5 linked regions of the Macaca mulatta genome follow. The protein of the gene in region 3 purifies or fractionates together with the protein of the main gene of each other region. This does not show direct contact. Links are inferred from orthologs where the notes say so. Each region holds a gene or a part of one and is shown on either strand. Other genes may lie near its edges.

The links. Proteins that work in one complex are often made in the same cells at the same time.
Region 1: the proteins of MAP3K7 (region 3) and RIPK2 purify together in Homo sapiens (affinity purification with western blotting; 4 studies listed by BioGRID). This does not show direct contact. The link is inferred for Macaca mulatta from reciprocal best matches to the Homo sapiens genes MAP3K7 and RIPK2.
Region 2: the proteins of MAP3K7 (region 3) and CARD11 purify together in Homo sapiens (affinity purification with western blotting; 3 studies listed by BioGRID). This does not show direct contact. The link is inferred for Macaca mulatta from reciprocal best matches to the Homo sapiens genes MAP3K7 and CARD11.
Region 4: the proteins of MAP3K7 (region 3) and IRAK1 purify together in Homo sapiens (affinity purification with western blotting; 5 studies listed by BioGRID). This does not show direct contact. The link is inferred for Macaca mulatta from reciprocal best matches to the Homo sapiens genes MAP3K7 and IRAK1.
Region 5: the proteins of MAP3K7 (region 3) and PELI3 purify together in Homo sapiens (affinity purification with western blotting; 3 studies listed by BioGRID and IntAct, with this or other methods). This does not show direct contact. The link is inferred for Macaca mulatta from reciprocal best matches to the Homo sapiens genes MAP3K7 and PELI3.

The regions. Positions count from the first base shown.
Region 1 is NC_133413.1:100,214,697-100,218,847, reverse strand, and holds the start of RIPK2 (receptor-interacting serine/threonine-protein kinase 2), read right to left. Parts: upstream 2,808-4,151; 5' UTR 2,434-2,807; coding exon 2,261-2,433; intron 1-2,260.
Region 2 is NC_133408.1:37,050,939-37,054,997, forward strand, and holds the start of CARD11 (caspase recruitment domain-containing protein 11), read right to left. Parts: upstream 2,808-4,059; 5' UTR 2,531-2,807; intron 1-2,530. UniProt on the Homo sapiens protein: Adapter protein that plays a key role in adaptive immune response by transducing the activation of NF-kappa-B downstream of T-cell receptor (TCR) and B-cell receptor (BCR) engagement.
Region 3 is NC_133409.1:95,420,008-95,423,517, reverse strand, and holds part of MAP3K7 (mitogen-activated protein kinase kinase kinase 7), read right to left. Parts: intron 2,448-3,510; coding exon 2,317-2,447; intron 1,662-2,316; coding exon 1,532-1,661; intron 1-1,531. UniProt on the Homo sapiens protein: Serine/threonine kinase which acts as an essential component of the MAP kinase signal transduction pathway. Plays an important role in the cascades of cellular responses evoked by changes in the environment.
Region 4 is NC_133426.1:160,268,557-160,272,578, forward strand, and holds the start of IRAK1 (interleukin-1 receptor-associated kinase 1), read right to left. Parts: upstream 2,808-4,022; 5' UTR 2,702-2,807; coding exon 2,566-2,701; intron 2,481-2,565; coding exon 2,313-2,480; intron 2,211-2,312; coding exon 2,079-2,210; intron 1,961-2,078; coding exon 1,857-1,960; intron 1,670-1,856; coding exon 1,481-1,669; intron 1,236-1,480; coding exon 1,171-1,235; intron 1,001-1,170; coding exon 886-1,000; intron 1-885.
Region 5 is NC_133419.1:7,948,689-7,952,953, forward strand, and holds the start of PELI3 (E3 ubiquitin-protein ligase pellino homolog 3), read right to left. Parts: upstream 2,808-4,265; 5' UTR 2,693-2,807; intron 1,564-2,692; 5' UTR 1,563-1,563; coding exon 1,411-1,562; intron 860-1,410; coding exon of another isoform or gene 788-859; intron 1-787. UniProt on the Homo sapiens protein: E3 ubiquitin ligase catalyzing the covalent attachment of ubiquitin moieties onto substrate proteins. Involved in the TLR and IL-1 signaling pathways via interaction with the complex containing IRAK kinases and TRAF6.

The DNA of each region.
Region 1 (4,151 bases), on a different chromosome or scaffold from region 3:
AGAGATTGTAAAAATTGATTTTTATATTTTGAAAATAAAGGCGTAAAATACAGCTTCTATAGTCACATCACCAAAATTAACTCAAAAATTTAATAAAAAAGTTACGTCATCTACAGGGTATTTGAACAACCAATTGGACTCATTACTCATAAGGGGTGGGAAGATTGTTGGGGAAGGTCCACTCATCGGACAGAAGTCAGATTATGGAGACTGATTCACCAATCATTAAAATAAGGGCATGTAACATTGCATAAATTTTTCTTTCAGGTCATCCCAAAGAACAATGCAAACATTCTTCTCCATAGCCCGAGACACACATGTATTTATTATTCCTATTTTATAAGTGAGGAAAGAGACACCAGTGAGTCAACTGCATAGCCTTGTCTAATGCTCAGACTACATAAATACTGCACTGATAAGATCTTAAGTAACAAATTGGAAAAAAGAATGTGATGCAGTAATGCCAGAGTGTTTCACTGGTCTTATGGCTTCCTCGAAGACAGAATTAATTTCCTACCCAATTCAGTGAAGAATTTTAGACTATGAAAATTGTTCATGAGCATGGGAAAGAAACTCCCTCTTCACTTCTTGGTCCCCAAACTGTACAAAGCTTAGATAAACTAAAATCCTGAGAAGCAGCACCCAAAGTGGGAGGATCAATTGGCTTTTCAATACCTATTGGGTCCATCAGTGCTATATTTCCATACAGTGTTTGCATAACTGGTTCTAACATATATCCATCCTCTCTAACCAACCACCACCCTTAAAAGTTGACTACAGACACATATACACACTTGCCCAGCACTTGCGCCACAGAACATAAGGCCCAGAGTAAACAGACACCACACCTTGTATATCACTGAATCTGGATTATGATAGAAAAGAAGTGGAAACAAGCTCTAGAGGTGTCCCAGATCTCCTGTGCCATTTAGGCCATCCAAGCCTGACAGTGAGACAATGAAGAAAAGTCACAGGTAGGTGAAAATCCAGTAACTTTGGCAGGGCAGAAGCTGAGGAATTTATCTGATATTGGATACAGCTTCTGGCCAATCAGGCGTCTGTGATGACGTATTTTCACATTAGATATAGGAGGAGGAGAAGAGAATGTTGTAATCATGGATGTTAACTCACTAAGAACTGAATGCTGGGCCTAGTTAAATCCCTGTAGGAAGTAAAATACACAAGACTAGTGACCAGACCCATTGACTAATACACAGTTACAGGTCTATGGCACGTGGTTGTAATGTTCTTCTGAAAACAGAAACTAATGTTAACCTTCCCTTAAAACCTGTACAAACCAGTAAGTGAAAGCCATTTACAATTTCTGGCCATTTAACAGTCTTTTGGTTCAATTTACTGTGGCAAAAATAGCACACATTTCCTCTACTTAACGATCTTCCCGTGAGAGAAACTGAGAGTGGGAGAAACTGAATTGTATTGAGTTTGATATAAAACGTTCCTGATAACACATAATAAACCACAACCAAAACAAAAGCAATAAAAAGCAAAACATCGTAGATTCTAAAGCAGCTCTGTCCAATAAACATAGAATGTGAAATCTACCACATACAATTTAAAATTTTCTCATGGCCACATAAAGTAAAAAGAAACACATTAAAATGAATTTTAATCTTATATTTAACCCAAGATATCAAAAATATTATCATTTCAGCATATAATCAATAAACAAATATTAATAAAATATTACAAGTTTTTAAAAATAAATACTAAGCATTCGAACTCTGGTATTTTACACTTAGGTCACATTTCAATTCGGACGGGCACATTTCAAGTGCTCAGTACTCACCTGTGGCTAAGGGCTGCCTACTGGACACTGCAGCCCTACAGCCCGATTTCAAAAATAAGGAAAAAACAAAGCAAGCAAAACCCACACCCACTCCATATAAACACACACCAATTTCAATAAACCCGGCGTTTAGAGTTTGGCAGTGATTGCTGATTTTTGGAGTACGGAGAGAGAACGCTTAGGAGTAAGAGGGAAGGAGAGAAAGGGAAATGGAGAGATGCGTGGAGGAATGCAACTGCTGCATCTCCAGAGAAGTGCGTGCTCCCTACCGTGCCAGAGCTTGAAGGGTCGGTGCTCCCTACCTCCCAAGCTTGAAGGGCTGCCTAGAGGTGACGAGGTGGGGCCGGCCCCAAGCGGTCACTGCCATTTGGGCTCTAGAGCCCGCTTGTCAGGGGGCTTGAGGGGATGCAGGATAGTTGGGGGCTCTTCCCGGGAACCCCATTGGCTGCCTACCTGTCGAGCAGAGGGGTGTGGATGTGCAGGTGCTTCACGGCCACCTGGACGCGCCAGTCTGCGTGGCGGGCGGACGACACAGTGCCCGAGGCGCCGCGGCTCAGGTAGCGCAGGTCGGCGAGCTTGTGGTAGGGAATGGTGGGCAGGGCGCTGCAGATGGCCTCCCCGTTCATGGTCCCGGGCGCTCAGGCCGGTTCCAGTTGTGCCCCCTGCTGCGGCGGCTCCCAAGGCTCCCCCGCCGCGCTCGGGAGCCCAGATCCGCCCCTGCACTAGCGAGGCCGGCAAGACCCTTTTTGCCCCGCGACACTAGGTCACGAGGGCGCCCATTCCCCGGGCGGCCCACGCCAGCCGCTGCTTCTCCGAACCAGAGCTGACTTCTTTTCTAGAGACTAGTGCCAACGCCGTAGCGCCGCGAAGGAGCTTCCTCTCTCGCCGCCCCGGCCGGCCCTCCCCGGCGCGCGCCGCCACCAGCTCAGGCCGCCTGAGCTCCTCCCTCCCCAAACTTCGCAGGCTACGTCAGCTGCGGACAGCAAGGCGGGGAGAGGGGCAGCCCGCTCGCGGCCCTTCCGCCTGGCTCTCGCCTCGGCCTGCGACCGGGATCCTCCGCCCGGGTCGCGCAGCCGAGGCCGAGGGCTGGGGCGGGCGGCCGGGAAGTGGGAAAGGGAGCCAGAGGCGCTCCTTTTGTCTTCTCTTCCCATCCCCCAGGTTTGGGAAAGTTTTGCTTTTGGGAAGCCCCTCTCTTCAGCCTGCTGGCGGGTGTCGGATTGGTTAGCCGCCAACCCCCTCCCCCCACCCCTCCCCCCACCCCTCCCCCCACCCCCACCCCACCCCACCCCTCCCCCCACCCCCACCCCACCCCCACCCCACCCCTCCCCTCACTCCTCCCCCACCCCCCACCCTCACCCTCACCCTCACCCTCACCCCGACCGCCAAAATTCTCTGGGCCACAGGTCTTCCGGAAGTTGCCAATCCCGGTAGCTGCAGCGTCCGGCTGGGGTCTTTCTTAGGGGGCTCGGGGTTCTGCTTTCTGACTCCCTCCCGACTCTCCGCCTGCGCAGGAAGCGATTTGGGGGTATTGTGAATTCCGAGGGCCCCACACTTAAGAGGTTGTACTCTCACCTGTCTACCTGGACTCCAATTTCCATATTTCCAGTCACTTCAGGACTGAGAGATGGATGATAAACCCTGTCATAGTGGAGCAAGTTGAGGTGTTTAACCGCTGTTATGTGGGATCTGCCTTTCTCCCTCTTCTTTCTTACTTCCGTAAGTATATATATGCAGAGAGTGAAAAATAACCTTGAGAGTGTCCATCCCTCTGACTCCAGGTAAGACTGCAAATAATTCTTTCTTATAAATCTGGGAGGAATGCAGTCAGTGTTTCATGCCAACCAAAAAAGACTGCAAACGATTTCCATCTTGCTGCTTTGAACACCTTTCTACTTAGGTGACTATTTTGTAAGATATGAGTGCAAATGTTATATACAATACCAAGTCCATACTAGATGTTTAATTAATTCTAGGGCTTCAGTAATCAGGAATGACTCGAGCAGATTTCTGCCTACAGAAAGCTAATGCGTCTCGTATTTTTGCATTACCTGAAATGAAAGTAGCAATGTTAGGTTTTACAATAGTGGAAGGTTGTAAACGATAGTGTGTTAAAAATTTTTGATCATTTATAATAAAATGTTCAGCACTAAATATATGGTCTGATGCTCTGTGCTTTCTTGCTTAATACACTTTTTTTTGTTTTTTTTCTTTTCGAGAGGGAGTCTTGCTCTGCCACCTAGGCTAGAGTGTAGTGGCGCGATCTCAGCTCATTGCAACCTCCGCCTCCCTGGTTCAAGCAATTCCCCTGCCTCAGCCTGCCAAGTAGCTCGGATTACAGGCGCCC
Region 2 (4,059 bases), on a different chromosome or scaffold from region 3:
GTGACCCTGCCACCCCTTTCCTAGTACAGTGTCCACAGGGGGCTGTCCTGTCCCATCTCCCAACTCTGCACCCCCTTTCGGGGGGATTGCCCTTCCTCCCTGAGATTTTCAGCACCATCTCAGCCTGGAACCTTCCAGGGATCCCTGGACCTTCTGAGTCCTACCATCTCCCAAGTTCACTCCCTGCTTCCCTCCCCACTCCTCCTAATTCTTTTCCATCTCATGTGCGTCTCAGCCACACTCTGACCACGGCATACACAGACTGTGTGATGAACCTACTCAGGTTGGAGCACTGCTTCTCACATCCCTCCTGCGTCCCCTGTGCCACCAAGTACAAAGCCACCCACACACACCCACTGATGGATTCAAACAAGCGTCGTCATCTTTAGAAGACTTAGGTTTAGAAGTCTTTTTTTTGAGACAGCGTCTTGCTCTGTCGCCCAGGCTGGAGTGCAGTGGTGCGATCTCAGCTCTCTGCAACCTCCGCCTCCCCAGTTCAAAGCGATTCTCCTGCCTCAGCCACCTAAGTAGCTGGGACTACAGGCATGCACCACCACGTCAGGCTAATTTTTTGTGTGTATTTTTAGTAGAGATCGTGTTTCACCACTTTGGCCAGGCTGGTCTCGAACTCCTGACCTCAGGTGATCCACCCGCCTTGGCCTCCCAAAGTGCTGGGATTACAGGCGTGAGCCACTGCGCCCGGCCAGAAGTCATTTTTAAAAATCACATAAAGGATGAGCAGATATACGAAATATGGTCTATCTACACGACAGAATATTATTCATCCTGAAAAAGGAAGGAGATTCGGTCACAGGTGACAACACAGACGAACCTTGAGGACATGAGGCTCAGAGAAATAAGCCAGGCACGGGAAGGACACAGGTTGTATGAGCCCCCTTATACGGGGTCCGGAAAATCATCAGATTTCTAGAGACAGAATGGAGAAGTGTGACTGCCAGGGACTGAGGAGGGAGCCAGGAAGATGTTCTTTAATGGGGGACACAGTTTCAGTTTGGGAAGAGCTGGACGGTGGTGACCACTGCAAGACAATGCAAATGGGCTTAACGCCAGTCCACTGTGCGCTTCAAAGCGGTTCAGTGAGCTACTTTTATGTCATGTGTATTTCACCACGATTTTTAAAAAAATCACATCAAGGACCATTCATGCATTAACTGAAGACTGCTGGGGCCAGGGGAGCCACGGCCTGCCTATCTGATACCCAGGCAAGTAACATCTACACGGGTCCAAGCAGTCCCTGGCCTTGGCTATGCTTCAGAGTCCCGGTCACTGTTACTGTCCTCAGGGCAGCCCCGGCCGGAGGCAGGAGTATCATCTCTTTACAGATGCCTCGCTGGGGAAAGAACGGGAGGTTCCGCGAAAGCACAGAAATGGACACTTAATGGATTCCTGTCCTCATATTAAGCACAAAAACGTACACTGACGGAGAAATTCCTGTCCTCATATTAATTCCTGGCTCCTGGGATTTCTGGCACATATTATGCACATGCTGAGCACTTAATAAACGTGGAATGAACGATCGACTGTTTCTCTCCCCTTTCTGGCAGGTTGGTAACCTTATACCTTCAAGACGAGTCATAAACGTCAGGAGAAACATTTTTGAACTACAAATCAAAGGCTTTGAGAGCAGGCGGGACAGACAGAGGTCAGTTTGGTCCAAGACGGAGTTTGTGTGGGCAGCCCTGAAGCTCACAGCTGAGACCACTGTCCATGAACCTGGGTCCCTGTGACAGCCTCCAGCGGTGCTCAGAGCCCCCGAGGGACAGAAACACCCTCTCTGCCCCTATCTTCAGAGGGGGCTCAGCAGAAGGCCTGGTGGCCCCATCGGGCCTGGAGCGGCCTCCTGGGGGTGGGTGGCTTTCAGGCCTGAGGCCGCTGGGGACTGGTCCGGGTTTCAGTGGGGAACCTGGGCCCCCTCCTGTGCCCCCACCACTCCCTTTCTAGCAGAGTCCCTGCGGGAGGCTGTCCTCTCCCATCTCCCAGCTCCATACCCTCTTTTGGTGGGGCTGCCCTTCCTCCCTGAGCCAGGCCCCACCTTCCCAGGAGCCTCTGAGTCAGGCTGGGCTGTGGTCTGCAAACTTCCGGGCCCTTCAGGTGTCAGAAAAGTTTCTCTTCCTCCCTCTGGGCAGGTGCACCAAGGGGCTGCAGCCTCCTGACCCCCGATTTTTTCCTGTCCAGTAGGAGGAGGTGGGGGTTTTGCTGGGCAGAGATACTCAGAGAGGCTCAGAGAGACACGGAGGAGAGGTACACGAGGTGGAAAGTGAGGGAGAAAAAGGGTTGGAAGGGAAAAGGAGGAGATAAGAGTGAGAGAGAGAAGTGGGGCAGGGGGACAGAGATGGAAGGATACCCCCATCATCGCGGGGCCAGCAGGAGCCACTCCCATCCCCCCCACGCCCCACTACCATGTCATCTCACTAATGCCCCCCATCTCCTCCCCATGTCCTCCTCTCTTTCCCCAGCTCCCCGCCTCGTGCTCCCCCTCCACCAGCTCCCCCATCCCGGCTGCGCCTACCTGGGGCGCTCATGCTCCGCCAGCTGCGCGGGGCGCCTCCTCCACGCAGGCCTCCGGCTTCCTCCAGGCGACCGGGCCCTCCGTCCCCGCGGGCCCGGACCCGTCCTCCGAGGGGCGCTGCCCGCCCAGGGGCTGCAGGGCCAGGAGGGGGCTGCGGGCGGCGCGGGCAGGAGTCCGAAGGCCAGAGGAGGCAGGAGAGAAAAAAGGAGAGAAAGTATGTCATAGGCTAGGAGGGGCGGGGGAGGGAAATGCAAAACCCGACAGGAAATGAGACTAAAAAATGCGAAAGGTTAGAAAAAGATAAGGAAGAGAGGGAGGGGGCGGAGTCGGTGCTTCGGGAGGAGGGCGGTAAGGAGGTGGGGGTGGGAGTGGGGACAGGGCCTGGGGTGGGGGTGCTTGGGGACAGATCAGGGAGCCGGGGATGGGGAGACCAAGGCGAGTCTCGGGGTCCAGGCCACCTGCATCAGTCGGGGTGAGGCTGGACCAGCCTGGTTGTCAGTCCCCACCCAGCTGTGACCCCAGGCAGAGTCCAGGTGGGGCCTTGGAAGGGGCTATCCCCTTTCTAGGTTCTTCAGGCCTTTGGCTCCCCAGGTCTAGCCGAATTTCTCAAGAAATTCCAGAGCCTGTCACTGCAATGTGTGTGTGCGCGGGAGAACGGGGTGTCCCACATAAAATTCTGCAGCCTCCTACACCCCAAGCCTCTTTCCTCCCTCAGCCCCTGTTCTGGAAGCTTCCTGGGCATGCTGGCTGGTCAGCACCCCTGCAAAGGCCTTCCTCACCCCAAAAGCTTTGGGGTCCAAGATATCCATCATCAGCTTGCACCCTCAACGTTCTGGTGAACTATGCTTGTGAGAGAAATTGTGATTTGGATGTCATCATTTTACTTTATTTTTATTTTTTGAGACGGAGTCTTGCTGTGTCACCCAGGCTGGAATGCAGTGGTGCGATCTCAGCTCACTGCAAGCTCCACCTCCTGGGTTCAAGCAATTCTCCCACCTCAGCCTCCCAAGTAGCTGGGACTACAGGCGTGCGCCACCAAACCTATCTAATGTTTGTATTTTTAGTAGAAATGGGGTTTCAACATGATGGCCTGGCTGGCCTCGAACTCCTGACCTCAAGTGATCTGCCCACCTCAGCCTCCCAAAGTGCTGGGACTACAGGTGTGAGCCACCGTGTCCGGCTGGATGTCAGCATTTTGATAATTTACCCCAAATGGCCAGCGTCGTGGGTGGGATGGTCCCAAGGGTTTACAGGGATTGTGGACTCAAAAATCTGGATGAAAGAAAATGTGATACACACAAACACACACACACACACACACACACACACACACACACACACACACACACACACATACACACACCATGGAATACTACTCAGCCATGAAAAAGAACGAAATAAAGTCTTTTGCAGTAACTTGCACTTGGATGGAACTGGAGGCCATTATCTAAAGTGAAGTAACTCAGGAGTGGAAAACCAAATACTCCATGTTCTTACTTAAAAGCGAGAGCTAAGCTATGGGTAGGCAA
Region 3 (3,510 bases):
ACTCTTCCCTTCTGTTTTAGCAATAGTACTCTGATTTTATTTAGGACAGAAAAGTCATCAGATAAAAGAGGGCAGATCTCCTCTTCCCTTGGAGCTACGTGTAGCCATTCGACCATGTTACTCTGACCAATGACGTGTGGACATTGTTAGGAAAGGCATCTGGGAATGTTCCTTCAAAGAACTTGGATGCCTATTTGCCCTACCCCCATGTCTTCCTTCCTGCTGCCTGGAATGTAGAAGTGATGAAAGGGAACTTTAACAACCATTTTGGAGCACAGGATAACTTTGAGAATGGAAGCTATACAATAGGGATTACGGCACAGAAATAGGAGACCAGTTACTTCAAGATCACAGAGCCCACTACCTTCAGACTTGTTTATGTCTGAAAAATAATGCTTATGTGTTATAGACACTGTTATTTTGGAAATCTGTTATATCTAATGGATTCTAATACTAGCTGATAAAAATCAATGATCATGATTAGTTGAAGACAAGTATAGTATGATGGTCCATCTTGACAACTTCTTTCTGAAAGAGCTCCACACACAATAAGAATATTCTATTTAGAAAAAAACCAAATAAGTGAAAAAAATACCTAAAAAATTGGTTAGCTAAGTTAAAAAAGATGCAAATACACATAGAAATACACATTTATACGTATATATATAGTTAAAAGACTGGGGTAAATACACAAAAATGTTAAGTGTTTATCTCTGAGTGGGGTAATTATGTAAGTTTTTTTGGCTTGTTTACATTTCCACATTTTCCACAACAGAAATGTGTTTACTTTTAAAATCAGCTCCCCCCAATCCCTGGAAGGAATCAGCAAAAAACAACGAAGTCCAAACTAAACCAGCATTACTAAAATGAAACCTGGTCAGAAAATTAGGTTGCCAGTTTACTTAGGTAACAAAACATGTAATTGTTTTTGTGCTGACCAGTTCTTCCATGATTAATAATTTTAAGAACTGAACAATGGAATTTAAATGCTAGCTTTTCCAAGATCCAATAAAATTATGATCTTTTACTTTACAATTAAAAAAATTAACCATAACCAGCTTAGCTAATATTTTGTCACTGGAATGAAGGAGCAGATAGAAGGTCAAATCATACGTGGATCTGGAATACATTTTTCTGTTAAATTTGAAACAAAATATTTGCTATTATTAGAGTTCAGCACAAAAATCTAGTAGTATCACTCAAAATCCCCAAAATATTCCGGTTTTGGCAGAATTTCTCACTCAGACTTTCAACTCATGTTTGAGCAGAAAGAATTACATTTGATAAAATCTGTAAATGAGGAAGGCATACTTTCTCATCCAAATAATTTTACAAGTCATACCTTCCTTATTTGGAATTTGAGATAAATGCAAAATTATTGCTAGTAACTTAGAAAAATATATTGTAAACCTACTTCCTATTTAAAAAAAAAAAAAAAAAGACACACACACAAAACCTCTGACAACTGAAACTACCATGGCCAAAAAGGCTTATATACATTTCACTCTTCAGACTTGTAGTTCCTTTTTACCTGTGGTTGCAGCGATCCTAGCTTCTATTTCAGACATGTCAGCACTCATCCTCTTTCCCTCAGAGGTTGGGGGCAAGCTCTCCACACTGCTCCCACGGGAGGCTCCCAAGCTTAAACGTCCAGATTCACTCTGTTAAAATTACAGGTCAATCTGAATTACTGAAGTTCTTTAGATTTAGCAGTCTTAGGCAACCTAAAAGGAGGAAGATGGCAAGTAGGATTCTGATGGATCCTGTTCTGCTCTGAAAGGAGAGGGAAGTTTGCACGAGAGGGAGCTACAGCAGTAAGGGAAAGCAAGCTGCAGATACTGTTTTTATGAAAGAGTAGTCACTAGAACTGGGGCTAAAAGCCCCAATTATTCATTAACCTAAATGCCTCAGGCAAAATGAATAAACTCACTCCTTACAATATTTTTAAAAATCAACAACGGCAAAAATATAAATCTGAATAGCATGAAATGATACACTTAGGACAACTCCTCTAACTGGGCAGCACAGCCAAAATATATCCGTTTTACATTTTTAACCATCAACCATTACATTTAAGGATTATTATAGATAGGGAGTTAGAGTTGGCAAAGGTAGCAATCATTAGAAGGAAAAACCATTTGGTAATAAATGGTAGGAGACTCTCATTACAAGTCTCTATTTGTAAGCTCTTCTATATGTTTCAGGAAGAAAATTCAGGATTTATAAAATAGAAGATGGTAAATAATTAATTTCATTTAGTATAATATTGTGACTACTGTTAAGGTTACCAATTTTACTTGTAATAACAAAACAAACCTGTTGCTTTGCCTGATTTTTCAACAATTTTGACTCTAAGCGCTTAATAGTATCATTTGTAGCAGGAACTTGCTCCATATTAGTGTCACTTTTATTACTCGTATTTGTAGAAGCAATGTCCATGAATGAGCCTAGGAAAAGCAGAAACATTTATGACTACTGGTTGGAAATAATAAAAATGCTTCACTTAGTATTATGTAACTTACATTCTTTTATAAACTAGCCAGGCAGGAACAGAAATAAGACTTTTCAAGCTAATGAAGATATCCAAACAAACCCATTTTAAGCAAAACTTAAGGCTAGCACAAAAAGGAACCAAGATGCCTAAATAGTCTTCTAATAGTCAAGAATAACTTAAGGTTTTTAACCTGAGCTAGTAGAAGAACTGAGGGCTATTAATTGAGATGGGGAAAGACTACAGGAAGATTGAGTTTGAAGGAAGTATCAGGAACTCTGTTTGGAAAATATTGAGTTTCTAGTAGATGTATAGAAAGTAGTTGGATATATGAGTATAGAGTTCAGGTATAAGATGGAAAAAATTATGAGCCAGCAGATGGTATATAATGCCACAATACTGGATGAGGTTACCAAGGAAATGAGTGCAGACAGATAAGTGAAGAAGCCAAATGACTGGGCCCTAGGCACTTCAACATTTCTAGGTTGGGGAGATGAGGAATAACCAGCAAAGAAAACTGAGAACAGATGGCCAGAGATGTAAGATGGAATCTAGGCTAGTATGGTATCTCAGAGGCCAACTGAATAAAGTGCTGTGTGTAAGAAGGAGAAAGTAATGAATTAGATCAAGTGCTACTGAGAGTCAAGATGAGAAATGAAAATGATTCCTTAAATGTAGTGATGTAGAGATAACTAGTGACCTTGACAAGAACAATTCTGAAGTACTGGCATAATATGTCTGAATGGAGTCGGCTCAAGAAAGAAGGGGAAAAGAGAAGCTAGAGAATGCAAATACAGACTACGTATGTTCTAGGAATGATCCAGTAGAAAGTTAAAGCTGATGATGCAAGAGAGAGAGGAGAATTGCTCAGAAAAGTAGATGGGATATAATGCAGATGGGATATAATGCACAGGCAGAAAGGTACACCTTTGGCCAGAAGTATGGATAGTTCAGCCAGAGTAACAGAAGAAGGCAGAGTAGATGGGCACAGATGTTGTGGAAGCTGTCTTCTGATTACT
Region 4 (4,022 bases), on a different chromosome or scaffold from region 3:
TCTGTCACCGTGCAGCCTGGAACAGCCACTTCACTCTCTAGGCTTCAGTTTCCCCCTTCTGGAAAACGAGGAGCAAAGTCTCCGTGACCTGCACTTGTTAAGCTACTCTGGCTGCTTGTCAAAGCATTCAAGGCTGGGCAGTGGCTGGGGACATGTTCAATAGAATCTGCTGGGCATAGGCTCCCAGGGCTCATCCCTTTGTCCCTGGGTGGTCGGGAAGTCCTTGAAGGCATTCTTCCCACTCTCCCCAAACACAGTATGCCGGAGGAGGCAAGGGGGTCCTCCGTCAGCGCTGGCTGGTCCAGCTGGTAGCCCCAGACCCCCTTGCCTCCGGGGCTTGCTGATGAGACCCTCCAGCTACTCCGCTTGCAAAGGGGAGGGGCCTGGGGAAGAGCTCTATAGAAAACAGTGGGCCAGGCCAGGCACGGTAGCTCACACCTGTAATTCCAGCACTTTGGGAGGCTGAGGTGGGCAGACCACTTGAGGTCAGGAGTTTGAGACCAGCCTGGCTAACATGGCAAAACCTCATCTCTACTAAAAATACAAAAATTAGGCAAGTATGGTGGCGTGTGCCTGTGGTCCCAGCTACTCGGGAGGCTGAGGCAGGAAGATTGCTTGAACCCGGAGGGTGGAGGTTGTGGTGAGCTGAGATCACACCACTGCACTGCAGCCTGGGTGACAGAGAAAGACTCCACCTCAAAAAAAAGTGACCCCACCATGGGCCAAATCCTGAGCGGGGTGCTGCTGGGGAGCTGGAAGTGCAGGCCTGGCCTGCTAGCAGGACCCGCTCACACAGGCTAAAAGCCCCAGGCCCCGCGACCGGCTCCAGCCAGGTGTCAGGAGTGCTTTGGGTCCTCGGAAGCGAGCCGGGCCAGGTGAGCCTACCTGGCAGTGGAGCCGGTCCTCCAGGGAGCCGTTGGGCAGGAAGCCGTACACGAGGCAGTAGAAGCCGTTCTGAGCACAGTAGCCAGCAAAGTCCACAATGTTTGGGTGACGAAACCTGTTTGAAAAAGGGGAGCACTTTCCATCAGGCCAGACTGGGTGGGCAGCCCTGGCTGGGGCCTCAGCTTGCCTGGGCCTGGCAGGCCTCAGGCGCCCAAGGGAGCCAGGTCGTGTAGTGTGTGGTCTGAAGCCCCACGGGACCTGGTGTGGCTCCCCATCTGGCCTCACCTGGACAGCTGCTCCACCTCGGTCAGGAAGCTCTGCTTCACTGCAGTCCACTCCAGGTCAGCGTCCTGCAGCCCCCAGGGTGCGGTGGGGGAAGGGGCAGGGAAGACGGGCAGGGTGAGGCTCTCGAACCGAAGGCCTTTGGGCCACCAGTGCCACGTGCCTGAGGCCCAGAACAACCAAGGGGCCAGGGACCCTGCGCCGGAATGAGGGCTGAAGGAGTTGTGTGGGGGAAGCGAGGGGGAAAGGCTGGAGAAGTGAGTGAGGGTTGTCTGATGGCCTTCCAGGGTCCCTGCCAGGGTGCGACACTCACCTCCTTCAGCCTCTTCACAGCATACACCGTGTTCCTCATCACTGCCCGGTACACGCACCCAAAGCCACCCTCCCCGATCTTGAGCTCCTCTGAGAAGTTGTGGGTGCCCTGGGAAATCTCACAGAGGGGCCAGCAAAATGGAGAGGGGTGGGCTCCCTGCAGGAGGGACACCGAGCTCTCTGGGCCTGGCTGTGGAAAGAGAGCCTGGATCAGGTGGGGTCCCTGTCTCCTCCCTTCTGCCGAAGGCTCCAGGCTGTCCCCACCACAGCTGCCTCCCAGCTGACCCAGCTTGGCTGACTGCGGCTCTGTGGTACACCAAAGGCTGAATTCCTTCCTCCTTGTCTCGAATCTTCCCTAGGGGACAGGAGACACCTACCTTGGTAGAGGAAGGGGCTGGAGATGGCGGTGGAGGCCGCAGGGAAGCAGGGCTTGGGACCAGGCCGAGCTCAGGCCCTGAATGGGTCTGGGAGCCTGGAAAAGCTTCATAAAGACACCAGTGAGAGGCAGGCAGAGACCAGCAGCAGGGTCTACAGCCGTGGCCATGGTCAAGGTGGGCCCTTCTTTGGGTCCACCGAGCCCAACAACCGGGCCCTCTTACCTGGGGAGAGGAGGGTGGAGGCTGAGGATGGCAACTTCCGGGGGCTCCAGGCCTCGGCCTCGGCGGGTGCAGGGATGCTGCTGGGCCTCGGGGCAGTGGTGCTTGGGGACGGAAGCGGGGCGGGAGGGTGCCCTGGGACGTCAAGGAAGGAAAGGAAGGTTGAGGCCCGGGTCGGGGAGCCCCGTGGGGCCCGCCGGCCTCCCGGCCGTGGGGTGCCCGGAGTCCCGCGCTCACAGGCTGTGATGATGTCCCGCGCGCGGAGCAGCTGCAGGTGCGTGAGGATGTGCACCAGGTCGGCCACACGGGCGTTGCGGTTGATCCAGGGCCACAGAACGCTGGCCGTGCGCTGCCCGGAGCGCTCGCACAGCCGCAGCTCAGTCTGGTCGCGCACGATCAGGGCGGCTGCGGAGCAGGGGGCGTCAGGCGTCGGCGCCGGGAGCCCGCGCGCCCCCCGCCCTCCGCCCCCCGGCCGCCAGCCGCCACCCACCGAACTGGCACCAGTCGGCGGGCTCCAGGGCGTCCATCACTTTGTAGAAGCGGCACATGACCCAGGGCGGCACCTCGTACAAGAAGTGCTGGGCGCCGGGGGCTGCGGGCTCTCCCGGGCCCGGCCCCCCGGCCATGGCCGCCGCCGCCGCCGCCGCCGCCGGGCCGGGGCCTGTCGGGGCCTCTCAAGGCCGCGGCGGGCACGGGCCTGGGCCGGCCGGGTCCGCGGACACTGACTCACTTCCCCTTCGAGCCGGCCTCGTGCGACACCCGGCGGGGCGGAAGGGGCGGTGCCCGGGCTCGCCGCCATCTTGCGCGCCGCGGCCGCGCGCTCGGCCACACGGGGGCGCCCCGCGTCGGGGAGGGTGCGGGTCCCGGCGCGTTTCGCGCGCGGCGGTCGGCCTCCCGGGCTCGCCCGGGCGGGGCTCTGGAGGACGAACGGCAGCTCCCGGCGTTGGGGACCGAGGGCAGGGCGGAGGCCCGGGCTGCTCGGAAAGGGGCCGGGGCCGGGCCTGCCGAAAGCTCCTGGGCGGCCCGGCGGGAGCCCTGCTCTCCACTGCGGCCTACAGGGCTGTTACCAGGAGCCCTGCCGGTCCGCCCCACGTCTAGCCCCCTGCACAGAGCAGCAGCCTTGAGCCATTCAGACTCCTTGGGTGTCCTGAAATGTGCCAAGAACGCTGGCCCCCACAGCCGTGAGTGTACGCGTTGCTGCTGCCCCAGCCCTCGTTTGGCAAGGGTGAGCTCAAGCAGTTGTGAAGGCTTCCTGAGCCCGCCGGCAGAGCTCCTGTCCCCTCCTGGGCATCGTCCTTGAGCACTTGTCTGGACCGCCACCCCCGGTCCCCGCCCTGAGATGGGGAAGACCCCACAAGCAGCAACGCAGACTTACTCTTTTTAAAGTTTCTCCAGCTGGATGTCTCTCCCAGCGACAGTTCCCCTTGCCCTCTTGATCCTGACAGGGAAGGGGTTCCCCACCCCTAGCCCTACAGACTTAGAACTTTTCCTAGAAACGAGATCTGCCAAGGCCCACAGCTGGCCCCTGTTGGAGTCTCTTCCCAGAAGCCACCACCACTGTGGCCACTCCTAAGGAAGATGCCAACCATACCATGAAACCCATGGCTTCTCACGGGATAGACTTTACTGAGATGTACCAACTCAAGAATGTGAAATGACTATGCACACCCATGCTAACCTCCACGGGGGGACTTGTCCTGCTTACACACAAAGGCCCAACAGCTTCTGGAACAGGGCTGGTGCACGAGATGCTCAATGCATACAAGTTGACTTTTCAATCCTGGGATCTACCTTTCAAGGCCCGGCCTTTAGAGGGTACCTTCTAGTATGTGCATGTGAAGCTGGACTCCTTTGAGCAGTTGTCTCCTCCAGCTCCTTACCAACCTGGTGAGGCTGCTCCTGAGAGCCAAGGAAGTCTAAGTAACAAGGGGGCCCCCTTTGGGCAAA
Region 5 (4,265 bases), on a different chromosome or scaffold from region 3:
ATTTTGAGAACTAAATGAGACAAAGCATTTAAAAGTGCTTAGCACAGAGTTTGGCATATTTATAGGAAGCCCTTGATAAGTGTTCGCTATTACTGCTTTTTTTTTTTTTTTTTTTGGTAAAAAAAGCACGTGTCAACAAACAGCCATTTTAAAAAAATAATCTTGGCCGGGCGCGGTGGCTCAAGCCTGTAATCCCAGCACTTTGGGAGGCCGAGATGGGTGGATCACGAGGTCAGGAGATCGAGACCATCCTGGCTAAAACGGTGAAACCCCGTCTCTACTAAAAAATACAAAAAACTAGCCGGGCGAGGTGGCGGGCGCCTGTAGTCCCAGCTACTCGGGAAGGCTGAGGCAGGAGAATGGCATGAACACGGGAGGCGGAGCTTGCAGTGAGCTGAGATCCGGCCACTGCACTCCAGCCTGGGCAACAGAGCGAGACTCCGTCTCAAAAATAAAAAAAAATAATAAAAAAATAATCTTAATGATAATATAACTTATCAAATAGTTTCTTTAGGACTGATGGCAGAGAGAGGCCAAAAGGAGACCTAGATGGGGGAGGAGGAAGAGGGTCTGTCCCTGGAGAAAGATCTGAGTGGATGGTGCAGGGATCCTGGTCAGGAGAAGACCAGGAAGGGATAAGGTTGGCCCGGCCGCCAGTTCATGTTGCTTCCTCTCTCCTGGCCTTGGCTTTCTCATCTGCAGTGTGCAGGTCAGCTGTGGCTTAGTAAAAGTGCACTAGACCTAGAGTAAGAAAGACCTGGGTCCAAATCCCAGCCCTGCCACTTACCAGCTGTGTGCCCTTGGGCCAGTCACTTCCCCTCTCTGAGCCTCGGTTTCCTCACCTCCTTCCTCACAGCATCTTTGTGAAGATTGAAATGAAATAATGTCCATGAAAGGGCTTGGCACAGGCCTGCCTCCCAGAACACTTGATATGTGCTGGGCGCTGTTCTATGTACTTTACAGAAATCACCTCATTCATTCCTTCTGACAACTCTCTGAGGAAGGGATTATTAACATCTCCATTTGCAAAACGGGAAACGGAGGCACAGGGAAGTTCAGCAACTTGCAGAGGCAGGATTTGAACCTAGCAGTTTTACTGCAGAACCAGAGTTCTTCAACCCACACCACACACACTAGGTGCTTTAGGAAAGGCAGCTGGTGTTAACGTTTTTCTCATCTGATCAGGAAGTTGGGTGGTTAGAGTTGTCACAGTAATTTGTGAAAAATAGGAAGATAAAACAATAATTATGAATTGAGGTGGGTTTGGTCAATTTTGTCTTTCAGCTAGGAAGGTGAGGAGGGACGAACAGCAGAAGGCACTTTGTGGGGGAGGGAGGGGTCGGGGCCCTTGTTCTGGCTGCGTTGGGTGGGTGTCTGGTGCTTCACCCCTTCTAGGCCAGAGATGCTCACCCCAGGACGATGAGTTCACCATACTTGATGGGATCCTCGCCTGGCTGCGCATCTTCACCGGGAGAAGAGAGAACGCAAGAGCCCTTGTTCCCCCGGTGCTGAAGGTCTGAGGTTCGGGGGGACCCCACTTCAGGGTTTCCTTCCAGCACCATTCTGGGCAGAGTGGGAGAGAAAAGAGCTTTGCAGGTTCCCACCCCAGGCCCACCCAATCCCAGCTCCAGCCTGCTGCAGGACCGCCTAGGCTAAGGCAAGGGTGACCTTTCACCGCCTCTACTGCTATGGCAACCACTTCCCCTCTGCCTCCTCTAAACTGCCCGAGGTTGCTGGGATACCAGGGAGGGGTGGCACAGTCAAGAGGGTCAGGATATTCAGTGGTGCCAGAGGAATGGACCAACTTGGGGTGGCCAGAGGCTGCTTTTTGGCCAAGATCCCAGTCTGGGATGTGCTTCAAAGAGGGGCACCCCATGAGTTGGGGGCCCTTACCCCTCATCTCAGACTCAGTTCCTGGTTATGGCTCTTAGCCTCTGGACCTCTGATTTAGCCCCTCTGACAGGTTCTTTGAATCTACCTGTCCATCTGAATCTTTCTGCCCCTTTGAGGTCTAGGCCTCTGTCTGTCCATCTGCTTTCTCAATGACTCTCTGTCCTCCTAGCCGCTGTCCTTTTCGCCGTCTCTCTCCCCCTATTCCCCGTCTCTGCCTGTCTGCCTGTCTGCCCGCCTCCGCCTCACCATCCATCTGCCTCAGTCTCCCCATCTCGGCCTCCCCCTGCGGGCAGGCCAATGGACTCCTGGGTGCGCGCTCTTCCCTCCCTCCCTCAGGTGTCTGCGTCCCCAGCCGCCCGGGTCTCAGGAGGCTTGTGGGGGCGGCGCTCCCCCCTCGAGCTCGGGCTGCAGCACAGCCGTCTCCCGCAGGCAGCCCGTTTGGAAAACATCCTCGCGCTGGAGGGACCGCGCCGGGGCAGGCCCGCGCCCCGCGCCCCGCGCCCCGCGCCCTGCGCCCCGGTTGGGCAGAACGAGAACCGCGGCCCAGCACCTACGCAGGTCCACACCCGGCGGCCCCTCCGCACAACACGCGCGCGCGCACGGCCCCGCACTCCCCCGGCCCGGACGGCGCAGAAACCACCCGCACCCGCGACCGCAGGGAAGCGCGGGCGCGCAGTAGCCACCGGCGCCCGCCCTCGGACCCACTCCCTCCGCCACCCCCAGACACGCAAACACGCCCCCCGCGCCCGCCGGGACCCGCCCGGCGCAGCCCCCGCCCCCTCTGCCCCGGTGGCCTCACCTGGCCACGCTCCGGGACCCGCTGGGCGCCGCTCCCTCACCGCCTAGCCCCTGTTCGGCCCCGGGCCGCTGCGGCGGGATGGGCCAGGCCCGCGGCGGCTCCGCGCTGCCTCGTCACGGGGACACCCGGGGCCGGAGGAGGGGGATGAGCGCGAAGAGCCACGCTCCGCCCCCTGCCCTGAGGCCCCGCCCCATTGTCCCCGCCCCTAGGAGAGCCCCGCCTCACTCCAGACTCCGCCTCTTGCGGCGATGCTTAGCCCTCGTCGGGGGAGCTCCTCCCCTTCGCATGAGACCACGCCCCTCTCCTGGCACCGCCCTCTGACCAGGGAAGCCCCGCCCTCCACTCCGTCTGAGGGACTCCCTTGCTCCTCCTCGCCGGCTCAGGACTCCCCCGTAGTCTACGTGACCCCTCCCCCATTTCAGACTCCCCAGACTCCGCCTCCATTTCCGGGGACTCCGGAGTTCTCCCGGAGACCCGGGCGCCCCCTCCCCACCGTAGGTCAGGGCCCTCACAGGGCGCTGGAGGACCCTTCCCCAGTCTTAGGCCGGGGGACTCCCCACCCCCAGCTCCGACACCTCATCTTCCATCTGGGGACGCCACGCAATTAGAGGAGAGGAGGAAAATGCTAAAGGCAAAGGGGGTGTGCGGCAGCGGTGGAGGCCGGGGAAAGCAGCTGCAGTTGAACAGAGTCGCAGACCTGTCTTCCAGCCCAGCTCGGGCACCCCCCTCCCCTTAGTCCCCCCCGCCCCGCCAGGATGCACACACCACCCGATGTGCTGCAAAGGAAAGAGACCTTTGCGGGAGCACAGCCCCTTCTGGGCCTGGGGCCCAGATCTACCAGTCTACGTTAGGCGCTGTGCGCTGTGCTTTGAGCAAATTAAACCCTTTACTTTAATCCTGGAAGGCAGGCACGATAGTTGCCCATTTTACAGATGAGGAAATAGATTTACAAAAGTGACTTACTTGTAGTTTGCTAGAAACGAGCCAAGAGAGAATCTCAGCTGTATGAGTGGCTTCCGTACCTTATCCTTCTGACTAGGGATGGAGCCTCAGAGATGTAGAAAAGAAACCTTATCTGCATCAGGTAAGGTCCCTATTGCTCAGTACTGTTGGTCTGGAACTATAACTAAAGGCTGGATTATAGTTCCAGACCAAGTCTTTGGTCTTGTGGGTGGTGGTGGGGGTGTTTTATGAGAAAATCAAGGAAGACTGCATAGAGGAGGTGGCTTTTGACTTCCATCATGAAGGATTCCGGGAGATTGCCTAAACATTCCCGAGAGGGAGCCGCTGCCACCCCCACCCCCAAAAACTTGTTGCACCTGAAGCTCCCAATCTACCAGAGTCCCCTGGGGCCCTACCACATCCACCCTGCTAACTCCCCCACCTAAAAATAACCAAAGATACCAACTGCTTTGCCAACTGTTCTGGGGCCCAGCGGCTAGATGAAACAAGAATGCAGCCGACGGCACATCCTTTAGGGGAAACGATACTCGTTAGTCACAGAGAATTTCCCTGCGAGACTCCCACAACCCTGTGACACAGGATAGCTGCCCTCACTGATGCCTCCAGAGGC